2 linked regions of the Elephas maximus indicus genome follow. The protein of the gene in region 1 interacts with the protein of each later gene in a pairwise test. Links are inferred from orthologs where the notes say so. Each region holds a gene or a part of one and is shown in the gene's direction. Other genes may lie near its edges.

What was found.
Region 2: the proteins of ARL3 (region 1) and ARL2BP interact in binary tests that used the Homo sapiens proteins (3 or more experiments, as listed by UniProt). The link is inferred for Elephas maximus indicus from reciprocal best matches to the Homo sapiens genes ARL3 and ARL2BP.

Annotation. Positions count from the first base shown.
Region 1 is NC_064834.1:54,251,776-54,259,134, reverse strand, and holds the start of ARL3 (ADP-ribosylation factor-like protein 3), read left to right. Parts: upstream 1-3,913; 5' UTR 3,914-4,020; coding exon 4,021-4,023; intron 4,024-7,359. UniProt on the Homo sapiens protein: Small GTP-binding protein which cycles between an inactive GDP-bound and an active GTP-bound form, and the rate of cycling is regulated by guanine nucleotide exchange factors (GEF) and GTPase-activating proteins (GAP).
Region 2 is NC_064839.1:24,185,434-24,193,251, forward strand, and holds the start of ARL2BP (ADP-ribosylation factor-like protein 2-binding protein), read left to right. Parts: upstream 1-4,507; 5' UTR 4,508-4,777; coding exon 4,778-4,815; intron 4,816-5,477; coding exon 5,478-5,539; intron 5,540-7,251; coding exon 7,252-7,358; intron 7,359-7,818. UniProt on the Homo sapiens protein: Together with ARL2, plays a role in the nuclear translocation, retention and transcriptional activity of STAT3. May play a role as an effector of ARL2.

The DNA of each region.
Region 1 (7,359 bases):
GTCCAAAAAACCAAAACCAAACCCGTGGCCATCGAGTTGATTCCAACTCATACCAACCCTATAGGACAGAGTAGAACTTCCCCATACAGTTTCCACAGAGCACCTGGTGGATTCAAACTGCAGACCTTTTAGTTAGCAGCCGTAGCTCTTAACCACTATGCCACCAGGGTTTCCTCAATCCATGACAGTGGGTTCGAACCCCCAACCTTTCCGTTAGCAGCCAAGCCCTTAACAGTTGTGCCCTCAGGGCTCCTTGAACCACAGGTAGTCTCTAACTTTTCTTCCACTGTTACTCTCCCTCCTCCTGCACAACCACAGCTAGTCTCACTAAGAAGGTCACCATCATGTCCAGGACGGCCCCACTTCTAAAGCAATGTGGTTCTCACTACTGGGAACAAGGGGGAGATAGAAATCAAACAGATGATTGGCCAATACCTCCTCTTCCTTCTAGGATCAGAGAATGTCATAGCTCAAAGACATTAGGGACCCTGGACCAACCCCCTCAGTTCACAGAAGGGAAAACTGAAGCGTAGAAATGTTCACATCCATTCAACAGCATGGTTAGTGTTTGTGGCACACGTGCCCTGCACTAAAGACTTGTGGCAGGTATAAAGAGGAACAAATCTAGTCCTCAAAGATCTGATGATAGCTAGGACCCTACTTTCCCAAGGTCATAAGGCTTGGCTTAGGGTCACCTAGACAGTTTCTCTTCCCACTAACCCATTACCAAATTTACTGCCGTTGAGTCAATTCCGACTCATGCCGTTCCTATAGGACAGAGATGAACTGCCCCATAGCATTTCCAAGGCTGTAAATCTTTACAAAAGCAGACTGCCTCATCTTTCTCCCACGGAATGGCTGATGCATTCAAACCGCCAACCTTTTGATTAGCAGCCAAGCGCTTAATCATTGCGCCACGACGACTCCTTCTCTTTCTACTACAGCCTACTTATTTTCTCCTAAGGGGGGAAAAAAAGGAGAAGAGAAAAGGAAAAGGGAAATAACCTACTACTTCAGCTGAAGTAATGCTCATCCTTGCCATGGTGACTTGTTTTTCTCTGGCAAACAGTATCACAGCTCAGAGAAAAGGCTTCCAAACCCCTCTGGGGTATTCGCCTAAGAGGCAGAAAAGTGCAGATAATTTTCTCTACCCAAGAATTCCCTGTTTGGAGTCCCAGGTAAGGTGAAAAACAAAACATTCTTGCTCGCAACCAAAGACTTAAAAAAGTTCACACACAGACCACTGAGATAGGTGAGGGTTGATGTCAAGGCTGGCTAGAACAAGATGGAAAATGAGACTAATAATTAAACAAGTTGGCCCAGGTGTATCCCTACGTACGCTCATGTATGCCCATATTATTCCAAGGCAACTGTGACACTGGACACAGACACAACCCAGAAAGAGAAATTTGCCTTACTTATTTCACAAAAGAGCCACCAAGCTAGAAATAGGTAGATTACACGTGGGTAGAGATGGTTGTTGACATATGCTATCCAGTCAATTCCAACACACAGTGACCCTACAGGACAGAGAAGAACTACCCCCGTAGGGTTTCCTAGGGTATAATTCCTATGGGGGAGGAGATTACCAGGTCTTTTCTCCCTTGGAGCCACTGGTGGTTTCGAACTGTTGACCTTTCAGTTAGCAGCTGAGCTCTGAACCATTGTGCCACCAGGGCTCCTTGTAGAGGCGGTACACACTCTGAGTTAACCATTCATCTTGCACCTCTTTAGTCAAGGTTCTGAACTGTTTTCTCTCCAAGATTCTGAAGCAGGTATGCAAGCAGCCCAAACCCACTGCCGTTGAGTCAGCAGATGTTTAAAAATTGGCTGAATGTACAAATAAAAAAAAAAACTAGTGCCATAAAAAAAAAGGACAATTCAGGGAAAAATTTGCCTTCATTCCAATGATCTTGGATAGGCTCGAAAGCCTGCTGATAGGAACAGGGGCAGAACCTAAAAACCTAGGTGAAACTAAGGCTTCAAACCTGTTCAGTCACAGCCAACGAAGTGAAACGGAAACAGACCCCAATTTTTACAATTTGGATGATCTGGAATGATAACAGAAATGGAAAAAATTACGGCTGGAAGCCCTGGAACGGGAGACTTGGAAGAGGCACGGTGAGCCGCTTTCAAGAGCCCGATGAGTGAGATTAGATTATTGGCAAGACTGTGGAGAGGACACACATTCAAAGCTGCGTGGTAGGCCACCATCTCTGAGCGGAGCACCACTGTTTGCAACTCTGCTCAAAATCCTACCAGGAAACAATTTGTTACTACACAACGTGTATGCTGCCCTTTGTTTTCTAAGAGGGAGATCAGGTTTCTAGTAGCATTTTGATCCATAATTCTTCCCATTCCGGTTGTCATTCTGGCTCAAATTTTTAAAAATTCAGGTCTGTTCCAGTTTCCCTTCCCGGGTCATGACTGAAGCGGGAAGAAATGGTTCAAAGCCCTGGAGGAAACGATAGTAATAGCTAATCCCTATATATATATATATATATATATATATATATATATATATACATATATACATATATATACATATATACATATATATATATAGCTCTTCCTGTGTGTGACATTTTTCTATGTACTTGACATATAATAATTCATATAATCCTCAAAGAACCGTACCCATACCCAGTGCCGTCGAGTCGATTCCAACTCATAGCGACCCTATAGGACAGAGTAGAACTGCCCCACAGAGTTTCCAAGGAGCGCCTGGCCGATTCGACCTTCCGACCCTTTGGTTAGCAGCCATAGCACTTAACAAACAACCGTGAAAAAAACCGTAGGCGGTAGGTAATATGCTCCCATGCATCTGCAAAGTTCCAGGTCCATCCATCAGCGCCCAGGCTTTACCAGTTCTTAAAAAGTCTGGTTTACACTACAGATATAAATCACTCTGTTCCTCCTACTTGGAGCACTCTGTCAAGAGTGGGACAGAACTCGGTTCGAGTCTCATTCTATCGCTTAAAATAACCAACTTCCAGGGTGACTGTGAGAATGAAATGAAATCGTGTATGAAAAGCATGTCACTAGAAAGCAAATTTTGTCCATTGCTGTATCTCCAGCGTCTACAACAGGGCCTGGCATGTGTGTCAACTCTTCTATGGGCCTCTGCATGGGAAAGGGGTGGAAGCACTTCCCCACCCACCCAGAACGCCCTAGCTCTTCTTTAGCTCCAAGTCCAGGCCCATTTGTGCCTTTTCCAGGAGTGCAGATGGTGTACGACCGGTTCGACATAGCAAAACCCAGCCAATCGCAAAACGCCTTTCACCCCTGCTGTCAACTCAGAGCAGAGCAAGTCCCAGATTGGTCTTTGCCCTGAGACAAGCTGCCTCTTCGCCTCTCACCACCCGGATCCCTCATCCCAGACCCTTACAAAGGGTGTGGAGGTGGGCACACAGCTCAAAACGCCCCGGCCCCTTGGCCTAGCCCACGAAGGCCCTGGGGACCTGCGGGGAGAGCCCGAGGCCACTCCTCGCGCCACGTGGCTTCTGCAGGTGGAAGTCTAGCGTCCAGCCCGCGCTGCAGCCCCACCTGGGCAGAGTAAGGACAGAAATCCAAACTCCCTCCCGGGACGTGGGGACTGAAAGTAGACGTGGCAAGCGGCTCTCTCCCCAATGGTCCTTACCTGGTCCCGGGAGGAGTGCCCTGAGACAACTGCTACCAGATGCAGCACGCTTGGGGAGCCCGGTCTGGGCCCCGCCCCTCGCCCCGCCCCCAAGCGGGGCTCGGCGGGCGCCAACCACGTGGGCTGGTTTGCACCATCTCCAGGTCCCTGCAAGCCCGTAGCCGCCTCCAGCCGCTCTAACAGCACGCCTGCGCGATGGGCGGCCCCTGGCGCGCTTGCGCACTTTGGAGAAAGCGGAGCTGGACCCGCCTCTGTACCTCTGCTTCCCTCCTCCGCTGTGCGTGAGAGGGACGTCGGGGGCGGTGCCGCAGCAGTTGCCCCTGGTAACGGGGAGGCAGCCCGAGGAGGAGGAGGAGGAGGAGGAGGGACTCGGCGGGAGGATGGTGAGTGTGGGGGCCTGGGCCCCTCCGGAGCTGGCCGGTCACCCCTCTGTCCCCTGGTCCGGGGCGGGGCACTGCGCTCAGAGCTAAGGAGGGAAAGGGACGGCGCGCAGCCCGCTGTCTGGGTTCTCGATCGGTTTCGCGGGACCGCGGAGAACCCCGAGGATGGGCCCTGGAGAGAGGCCTGGGCCTGGGGAGGGAGGCGGGGCTTGCAACGAGTCCGAGGCTCAGGGAAGGGGCTGACAGGGTCAGTGACTGGCCCCGTATGGAGCCGGGGCTCCATCATTGCTCTGGGGCCAATGATAAAGACGGATCCTAGGAGTGCGGAGAACAGCCTCCGCACGCCGACTTAGCTTTTCCCGGGGAATCCGCGTCCCTGCGCCGCAGGAAAGGGGGGTCTGCCTGAGGCCGAGGACGAAGCGGGGAGAGGGCCGGCGCTGATCTCTTTGAGGTCGCCCTGGCAGTACTAGGGAGATGGTATCCTAGCTCGCCTCTTCCTGGAGAGATGCGGACCCTTGGGGCGTGGAGGTCCCAAGGCACAAAGAAGTGCTACTTGAAAGGGATCCCTGGTGAATCTTAAACCGCCTTGGCGTCTGCGTGGCTGGCGCGCTTCTGCAACCTGGAGTTACTCATTTGATGAGGGTTCTGCAAAGTCTAGTTGGTGACCGATTTCCTCTCCAATACTTAAGCCACATTGGCGTAGGCAAATTAACTGCTCAATCTCTAGTATTTCCTTCGGAACCTGTTGCAGCCTTTGGCATATGACCACACCAGGACCAAAGGCCTTAATCCCAGTTTGGGGTCTCCAAACTAAAAAGAATGGAAAATTAAAACTGGGAGTGGCCATCAGTTTGAGGCAAGCCTTTTCTCTCTTAGCCCTGATTAAAGCTTTCCCAGAGTGTAAATTATGATGTGTGACAGATTTGACACTGTGTCGTCGTGACGTGGGAGAAACATATGGCAATCTCCTTTCGTAAAGATTTACATCCTAGGAAACCCTATGGAACAGCTCTACTCCGTCCTATAGGTAGCTATGAGTCGGAATTGACTCGACGACAATGGGAAATGGGCCTTCTTGATTTCTCTGGTTTCTTGGAGGAGGTTAAAATGGTATGAGTAGTTTTAGAGCTTGTCAGTAGAAAATTTGATTTTGAATTATTTAGAGCAGATTGATTGGCTTACCAATTGCAAACAGCCAGTACTCACTCAAATTTACAATTACTTACTTCCCCACCCCATCCCACCCCCAGTTCCTTTTTGACTTTTTAAAACATTGATCCATTTCTACTGATTTAAGACCTAAGAAGAAGCTAGCTGCCCCTGCGAAGGGGGGGGGGGGGATACATGTATCTCTGTTCAGATTATCCAGTGAGAAAATATGGATTTAGAAAAAATTTCCAATTGATTTTACATTTTCAGATTGTTAAAGAAGTAGAATTATTTGATCTGAAGTTGCCAATCACATTTCACAGTTGCCACGTTGCAGTTTTACTAACCTCAGGCTAAACAGATTTTACAAGTACTTCCTTTTTATTAATCATTTATACATGAGCTGTCCATTAAAAGGCTAAGTTTTTCTCAACAAATGAGTACAAACATAAATATTTACACAGAAGGGAACTGGGATTGAAAGGAAAAAGGCATGCCAAATCAACAGAGAATGAATTTTGTCATCATAGATGAGAAATGCGTAAGAGTTGGCTAACTTCTCCCAGTTTCTCGATTAAGTGACTGTGTAATTTTATGATTGTTTATAATTACAGCCCACAATAAATTAAGCACTGCTCATGTTTGGAGGCTCAAATTGACATTGTATACAACAAATAGACACTGCATACAACAAATTGGCAGTATATACCACAAATTGAAAGTGTATCCAATACTGTCATATACAACCATTGCAGTCAATGATCAAGAGAGATTTTGGTTTTATTTTTACATTTCCTAAATGAACAATAAGAAATTAGGACAAATTATTCTAGATTCTTTATCTGGTTTCCCAAATAAGTTTTTTTTTCCTGTCTCCAAAAGTGTGAGCTATTCTTAGAACTGGAAGTGGAACACTAAATTTAAACGGTCAGTGGTCTGATTAAATATGTCACATCTGGTATCCCCTGAGCCCCCCATGGTTAACTGTACAACTAAAGAATGGGTCCCAGGCTCTGTGTGTGTGCGTGTGTGTTTTAATCTTCAGCTATGACTAATACATTTTTTTAAACCTAAGTTACTGTAACAAAAACCCATAATTGGTTTTCCTGAACATTTAGGATTAGCATGATGAAATACTAAGATGACAGTAATTTTAGCGCATAACTAATCACTGTTTATTTAAAATATGACTCATTCATTCAGTAACTATTTATGGTGTACTTCCACGTATATGGAGCCCAGGTGGCACAGTGGTAAAGAGCTCAGCTGCTAACCAAAAGGTCAGCAGTTTGAATCCACCAGCAGCTCCTTGGAAATCCTATGGGGCAGCTCTACTCTGTCCTACAGGGTCGCTATGAGTCAGAATCAACACAGCAATGGCTTTTTTCCGCATATATGAACCTAGTGGTAGTTATCAAATATGTTCAACATTTGAAGATTGTTCTCAGTAGTATTTGTTTCCTGGTCAGGAAATGGTCACTGAAAAATAAAAAAAATAAAAGCAGCTATTGTTTTAAGTACTTACTATGTGCCATGCATTATATGCATTATCTAATTTAATCATCATAACTTTTTTTCTTGAGATATGAGTGTTGTTCCCATTTTCTACATAAAACCATGCTCAGCGTTACACATTTAGGGAAGCTGAATACAAGTCTTTTCATTAGGACTCTGGTGAAGTGGGAACCCAATCTTCTTGAGAAGATGCCCATCCTCCATTCCTCAGGAACGTTCTTTATATTTATTTAGTATAGAAGTGATGAGAAAGAAGACAAATTGGGGTGAGGGACTCCCGTTCAAAACCATAGGAGTTCCTGGAGCCGAACAAGATCTCCCTGGGTAGCACCAGTTTTTTTTTTAATAGTTTAAAGAGGTCAAAATAAATTGAAGTCATTGCACTTAAGCAAGTTACAGAAAGTGTATGTACTTGACATTGGCCTAGTAATTTTAATATTTAAATTTCAGCTGCTCATGACAGCCACTTGTGTTTTCTTCCCTTCCCCTCCCACCCCCTCTACCCAGTTTCTTTGAATGACCTACTTTGAATCCTTTTAGGTCAGTGCGCCATGCCTCTGCCAGTGGTTGAGTTTCAACTGATTTTGAGGCAGATAAAATGTAGTCAATAGTATAGTACATCTATTCATGATTTGCCTACAGAAAAGTTTGTTTAAATGTTTTGTGGCTGAATCA
Region 2 (7,818 bases), on another chromosome or scaffold:
AAAGAAGGTGCAGACTGTAGAAAAAAAATCCCAAATTTTTTGATATTTTAGTGATTCCAAAGAACATTCTAGTTTTTTTTTTTTTAATGGCAGAAAATTGATTGTATTTTCACATTCATGGTGTTTCTATCCAATTTCAGCGCCCACATTTTGTGAGGAAACAATATTTTCCCAATGCAGGAGGGATTCCTACATTAACTGCAATGTTAGACTGGAGAAAATTGGGTATTTTAGGGTATTTTTAAGGCACCATCAAACCAGGTTTTTGTTTTAAATTTTTTTAATCAGTATTGTTTTTGGAAGTAATATACTTTAAAACTCTTGAGCTAAGTCTCCAAAACTCTAGAGGACAGTCTAAGAACACATATTACTATTGTTTTAAATAAATACATGTTTTTTAAAAGTAAATTCAATCATGGATTGTTGACTATGTCTTCATCAAAAGTGTTAATCCCTCTCAGGGTCTCTGATGAAGACCTTCAAGAGTTTGGTTTTTTCTCCCAGAAAATTGGAAGGTAGAATTGTAAATTCATAGACCTTATTTTATAATGGTGTACCTCAGCAGCTGCCTTTCAATTTATGCCAAGTCCTTACTGAGTTTATACTTGAATAGTAAATGTGTCTTCTGAGTTTTACAGTGTCTTAAACTCAGTGCACATTTTTTCTTCCTTTTCCACCCTTTCTTGTTTGTAGTTGCATTAAACCTGTCCTTAAACCTGTCCTATTACAGAGCTGATTTCCTTCCTGGCTGTACTTGTTGGGGTGCTGCATTTTTTTCCATGTCTTTAGTCTTCCATAAATTCAAAAATACATATAAATATATATATATGTATGTTCTCCTCTTTAGCTTGTGGTGAATACAGTAATTTGCATTGAAGAAATAAAACATTTGTTGCCTTTTTTGATTAAGATTTTACAACTTTCATTGGTGCCTGCTGCTAAATTCCAAGATAAACTCTCAGACACACATGGAGTCTCCATGAGTTGGAATCAACAGCAATTGGTTTTTCAGGGTAGCAAAGAATCAAGTATTAGAATGCAAGTTAATCACTATTCATCCAGCAGATCTTTACTAGGAACCTATTAGGTGCAGGACACTGTGCCTATTGAGAAGTACAAAATAGGTGTGTTCATGGAGCTTAAGTCTGGTAGTAGGAGACGACTATGTATTTGTATTTATTATATCAACTTATTAGTGCCCTGAAGGAAAAGAATAGGGTGCTGTAAGAGAATGAGAGGGACCTAATCTAGATAGGGGAGGGTGTCAGAAGTAGCATTAGTAGAAACCTAAAAGATAAATAGGTGATAACCAGGCAGAGGGACTGAGGACAAGCCTTCTAGGACTGGGTAGCTAGGTGAACACATTATAGGCAAAGGCCTTAACTACAGAGGAAAGGAGCTTGGTGGGTTTTGGGATCTGACAGAAGGTCCCTGTAGCTAGTAAGGTAGGAGCCAAGTGGGTAGCGTAGTATGTTCCAGCGTTGGAGAGGTTTCATGAAGGCCATGTTGAGGATTGTGTATTTTATCCTAAGTGCAGTAGAAAGCAAAGGCGTTCAAGCATGGAAGTGCCTTGATCAATAATTGTAAAAGATGGCTCTGATTTCTACGTGAAGAATAGAGTGGGGGGAGAGGGAAGGTGACAAGCAAAAATTGGAAATATAAGACTAGTAGAGAGATTCTGGAGTCATCCAGCTGGGGGTAAAGGTGGTCTATAAATTGAGTGGAAATGGAGAGAAGTCAGTGGAATTAATAATGTCAGCAGTCAGAGCAGTGCAGTAGCCTATCAGCTTTCTAGAAATCTACCCTTAAATTCTGCCCATAAAATGGCCTACTTTTCCAATTCTTAACTTCTAGACCATAAAACAAGAAGACTTCAATATTAAATTGCTTAAAGTCATTCAGAATGGAGACAAAATTGTAATCTTGGCACTATTTCAAAGGGAAAGACATATATTCCACATAGAAGAGAAGAAACTGGGGATTAGCAAGCCATTTGGGAGAGAGTAAACAGATCCATATTCTGCACTGAATGTAAGCATTGTAAGAATTGATAGCTAGACTTCTGATATTGTATCAGGAAAAAAAAAAACATAAAAAATTAAGTTACGGTATTCAGTTGTTCATTGGGAAAAATGCCCCCAGCGTTCCAGCCAGTTTTTTCTTTTTAATGAATTGTCACCGTTTCTGAATGATATAGAGGGAGGTCATGCTGCCATTTGCAGAGTGCCAGGAAACAGTGACTAGCAGAAAATGCCCTGCATGAGTTTCAATCATCTTGAACATATGTCTATGAAATCTTAAGACCAGTTCTTTCCAAGTTTCCCCACATTTTTTTTTTGCTCTTTATTCACTTAAAAATATTAATGCTAACCCACAAAGGATTTAAGAAGAGATTATTTGTGCAAAAACACTTAATATATACAATTTTTTTGTTTTTTCTAGAAATGGGAGAAAGGCCACTGTTCTATTTTAAGTGGAAAAATGTTCTGATTTCCAAGAGTCTGGTTTGGCACCCCAGGGATTAGGAATGATAATAGCATGGTGGCTAAAAGAGACTATTAGGACCGGGGCTGGACCCAGGTTCTAGCCCCACTCTGCGATTTATATCACCAGCGTGCAAGTACCTAACCTCTAAGCCTTGGTTTCCTAATCTGTAAGATGGAGACAGTACCCATCTCATAGGGTTTTTGTTTTTTCTCACAGGGTTTTAAGTATTTCAAAAGGAGACAATGTATTTATAGTCTTTAGCAGGGTATCTGGACATGCCTGAGGAAGTGGGTACCTATTATCTTTATCCCCATTTGTTCCTACAATTAGAATGATATAGTAAAGATGGTCACAAATTCTTAGACATTTCTCCCTACAATCTATGTCCCCTTCCCCTTCAATCTAGGTGGGCTCTGTAATGGCTTGACCACTAGAATGCCATGGAAGTGATCCTGTGCCAAGTTTCCAGTCTGAGGTCTTAAGAGACTGGAAGCTTCCACTTCCTGTCTCTTGAACTACTTGGCTCTTGGACCCCGCTGCCGTATTGTGAGATAACCCAAACATCTCCAGGGAAGACCTCCATAGAAAGGCACTGAGAGACCCCCAGCCCTCCAGCCAATAGCCACAGTAGAGATCCCAGCTGAGAGCCAACACCAATTTGCCAGCCATGTGGAGGAGCTATCTTGGAAGAGGCTCCTCCAGCCCCATTTCAGCTGCCCTAGCTGATGACAAGCTGAACAGAGACCAGCTGTCCCTGCCAAGCCTCGCCCAAATCCAAATTTGCTCAGTAAAATAACTTGTTTCAAGCCACTACAATTTCAGGTGGTTCGTAACAACAATAGGTAACCAGAACAGATGAAATCACAGAGTTTCATTCCTCTGCCGCTCTGACCCCATAAAAGATTGAATTAGTAGGAAAAGTAGGTAAACTCATTTTGTCCAGAAGAAATGTGTGGTATACAGAGAAAGTAGGTCATGAGGAAATTTGCTGAGTTTGCTATGGGCTGTTTGACTAGTGCGTGACTAAACAGAACTCGGTCCAGCTTATTCAGCAGACCTTTGTGGATGCCGGTCTTCTACCTAGGACTAAGCATAGCTCTGAGAATTGATCTCACCCTGGGTATAACTGTGTATGTTTTTAACCCACCTTTAGTTTCAGATCCCTCTGAAACCTATTTTATGCCCACCTGACCCTCAGATCAAACCTAAGCCATACGGTAAATCCCTCTGGACATGTACCACACATTTGGCCAAAAAGTATCATGCAACCAGAAAGACAGTGCTCGGTGGTCCAATCGAGCAAGTCAGCCTTAGGGAATCCTTTTGTAAAATTTAGCACCGCTTTGGAGAGGACCTTCCTTGGAGTAAAGTGTTCTGACTCCTGGTTGAGTTGCTCAAAGTGGCTCTGTCAACTTATCTTGCACAATTAGCCAAGAAACCAGTTACTGCAGGATAATCTTCATGATTAAATTACTAGACATCCAATGCTTGCGGCTAGGCTTTCCTTCCACGAGGGGGAGTAACTGTCTTGCAAATCAGACGTCTGCAGTCTCTGGTTCAAAAGATAAGGAGTTGGCTCTCCAGCGATTTGCATTTACCCATAACCCATTGCCGTCTAGTCGATTCCGACTCATAGCGACCCTATAGTTTATACAGTGTTCTTAAAACGTGCTTCAGTCTTCACAAACACCGTACAAGGTGCAACTTATCCATAAGTTGCAAATGAGAAAATTCAGGCTTATGGTTTCAATTCCTCCATCCATGAAATGAAGGTGATTGTTACACAGCGCATAAACAGCTCAGTAAATCCATTCCATACTGCCCGGAGCTCAGGCTCCCTTCGCGACTTTATCTTCCCTTTTCCTTCCTTCCTTTCCCGTTCCGCTCCGTTTTGTCCCGCCCCTGGCGTTGGGTAGTGCTTGCTGTGATTGGCTGTCAGGAATCCACGAGGCGGGAGCTCCGGGCTGGGAACGAGGCGGGCGGAAGGAGGTGCGGTGGCCATGGTAACGGGAGGCGGGACGCGGCGCCCAGCGGTCAGTAACCGACGCAGGGATCCCGCGGTGGTGGCGGCGCGCGCAAAGCGGCCTGGCCGGGCGTCAAGGCCCGGCCGGCGCGTGGCCGCAGCCCGAGGAGCCTGAGGCCCCGGCGGCGAGGCTTCCTTCGGGCCGGCCGGCGTGCCCTCGATGCCGGTTGGAGCAGTGCGGGGTGGAGCGGAGGCTGGGCCCGGGCGGCGGGCAGGCTAGGAGGCCGACGAGCCGGCTCGCCCGCGGCGGTGGATGTGTCGGCCGTGATGGACGCCTTAGAGGAAGAGAGCTTCGCGCTGTCCATGTGAGTGACGCCTTGGCCTCGGCCCTTTAAAACGGTGCCCTCGGGGGGCGGGCGGACACCGCCCCAGATCCCAGCCTTGATCCTGCGGCTCCTGCGACCGCTGCACCGGAGAGCGGGGCGGTGTCCCCGGTTACCAAGCCCCCATCACAATCCCCCGGCCTCGGGCCCTCCGCCGTCCGCAAAGCCCTGGCGGGCGAGAGCTGCCGAGACCTGGGGCAGAGGATCCTCCACCTTCCGCCCCAGCAGCTCCTGAGCCTGGCCAGTGTCTCCCTCACGCCGGGTCCCTGCTGACGAGCAGATTAAGTGTGGGTGATAGCGAGGATGCAGTGAGTAGATCGTGCAGCAAATAAATGCCATATATCGCTCAAGGCCTTTTTGTCCAATGCGAGCCTTTGCTTCCTAGGCCCCTTTTGTATTTCGTTGTGTCATAATCAGGTTCTGTGCAAGTAGAATCTTAATTCACCTTCATGTCAAGGATGTGTAAAGTGGGTTGTTTGGAACGCTAGATTAGATAAGTCATTTTTAATTGTTGAAGCTGGGTGATGGGAAATTCATTTTACTATTTTTTTTTCTCTTGTGCATGTTTTAAAATGTCCAAAAATCTTTTTTTTGTTGAACGAATTATTCGAAACCACACCTAATCCAGTCATATGAATTTTCAGCTCCTCCGCCTCTGATGCAGAATTCGATGCTGTGGTTGGTTATTTAGAGGACATTATCATGGGTAAGCTGCCTCACCACTGCCTGGCCTGTGCTCTCTCCAGTCCGTTCCTAGACACTTGCTTTTAAGGACACCGAAATCAATTTAGAGAGTTAATTTTAAGTGAAAACATCAAGCTGCATATAATTATTAATGTAGTGCAATGTAATATTTGCAAGTCTTAGTTTTGGGTTTTTTTTTTTTTTTACTTGATTTGCCTTTAAGGCAAACAGCTCAGTACTCCTCAAAACAGATAACATAATTTCATGACCTGGAAGGGACTTACTCAACTAATGGGACACCTAGAAGTTATGGGGCTCTTGGCAAAGCTTCAGGAAATACTGACCTAGGTTATTTCCTATATAAGCAATTTCACTTTTTAGATAGTTTTGCATTTTACCATTTTCATGGCATATAAAACCTAACCAGAAAACCAAACCTAGTGCCTTCGAGTCTGTTCCGACTCATAGCGACCATATATAAGAACAGCATAAAACCATAACCATAAGCCACATGTCTATGAAGAAAACAAGGTATCAGACTCCAGCAGGTTCTGGGTTTTGAGTTTCTATTTGTGGATTTATTTCAGCATCCCTAAGACTTGCTAAGTAATAGACAAGGAGTAACAGGCACCAAAAGTTTAAGACAGATATTGGGGTTGGGGTGGGGCGTGAAAACTTGAGAAAATTCTGACTTTTGACTTTCCAGAGAGTTAGGAAAGGAACACTTATTTGGTGTTATTGACTATACGGCATAGTCCAGTTTAGTCTGAAAATCATGTTTTTCTCCCTTCAGGTCCTGTAGAGAGGTACATGCCCTTAACTCCTAAATCCAGATGTTTCCCCATTGAACATACAGATATTTCCCTATTGAACTCTCATCCCATGTAGATGTGTGGATTTCTGAGAAATACTGAGGAGGAATCCATTCACTTCTTTTGCTCTTTATGCTGAGGGAAAATGAGCCTTCTGTAAGCCCAGGTTATTTATCCCAAAGTCTGGGTCCTTTGTGAAGCTTTCCTTTTATTTTTAGAAATAATATTCTACTTGAAAAAAACAACCAAACCCGTTGCCATCGATTCGATTCCGACTCATAGCGTCCCTATAGGACAGAGTAGAACTGCCCTGTAGAGTTTCCAAGGAGCGCCTGGTGGTTTTGAACTGCCAGCCTCTTGGTTAGCAGGCGTAGCACTTAACCATTTCCAATCAGTTGTTAAAAATCCCTAATGTTTATTAGGTGCTCACTGTGAACTAATCTCTACATAAATTCTCATCTAAAATCCACCTAGCAATCCTTTAACATAGGTACCATCACCATTCTCATTTTCCAGATGAAGAAACTGGGGCTTAGGGAAGTTAACTTGCCTAAGGTCATACAACTTAGCTGAGGGAGAATTGGGACCCAAGCATCCTGGCCTCTGTCAGAGCCCGTACTTTTAATGACTACCGTGTTTGCACCACTGCTTCTGGATTATACTGGAGTCTATAGCTCAAATGAGAGAATCGATTCATTCCATTACAGTAAAGTAATAATGTGAGGGAGTTCCCAAGCCAAGAAATGAAATGGATTCATCTATTTCAATATCCATGTCCCAGTTAACTGCTGCCCCCTTAAACACCATCAGCTTTCCCTTTTAGAGACTGGCCATTGAGGAGCAGTAGTGTACTGCCTACTTATATAGCAGAGTGGTGTTTAGTCTCCATTAAAAAGAATAAATCTTCCCTATTGTGGTTTAGACGATGAGTTCCAGTTACTACAGAGAAATTTCATGGACAAGTACTACCAGGAGTTTGAAGACACGGAAGAGAATAAACTCACCTACACGCCTATTTTTAACGAATATGTAAGCGATTTTCTATTTCTCTTACCAGATTAGGATTTCTTTAAAGTTTAAATTTAGACTCAAAAGATGTTAAAATTTGCCCTTTCAAAATCTGCCACCAGCACATTGCCAGGGATTCTAATTAGAATCGGGTTTAGTTTTCATCTCCTGTTCATTATTCCACACAGCTCTTATGGCTGTTTTCCAAAGGGCTTTCAGGCAAATGTTTGATGATCTTATTTAAAAGAAGACACTTGGCTTACCATAATCCTCCCTTCAGTTGTGTGGGTTCAGCACACCTTGTATTTGTATATTTTTGACCTTTTTCCTTCCCCTCACTATTTTTTTCTACTTTATAATTCAGTCAGGTAAGCATGACTATTAGGCGAAAGTGAAAACTGAGACCAAGGTCCCTACCTACCAAAAACCAAACCCCTGTTGCTGTCTAGTGGATTCCTACTTAAAGGTTCCTACCTAGTTG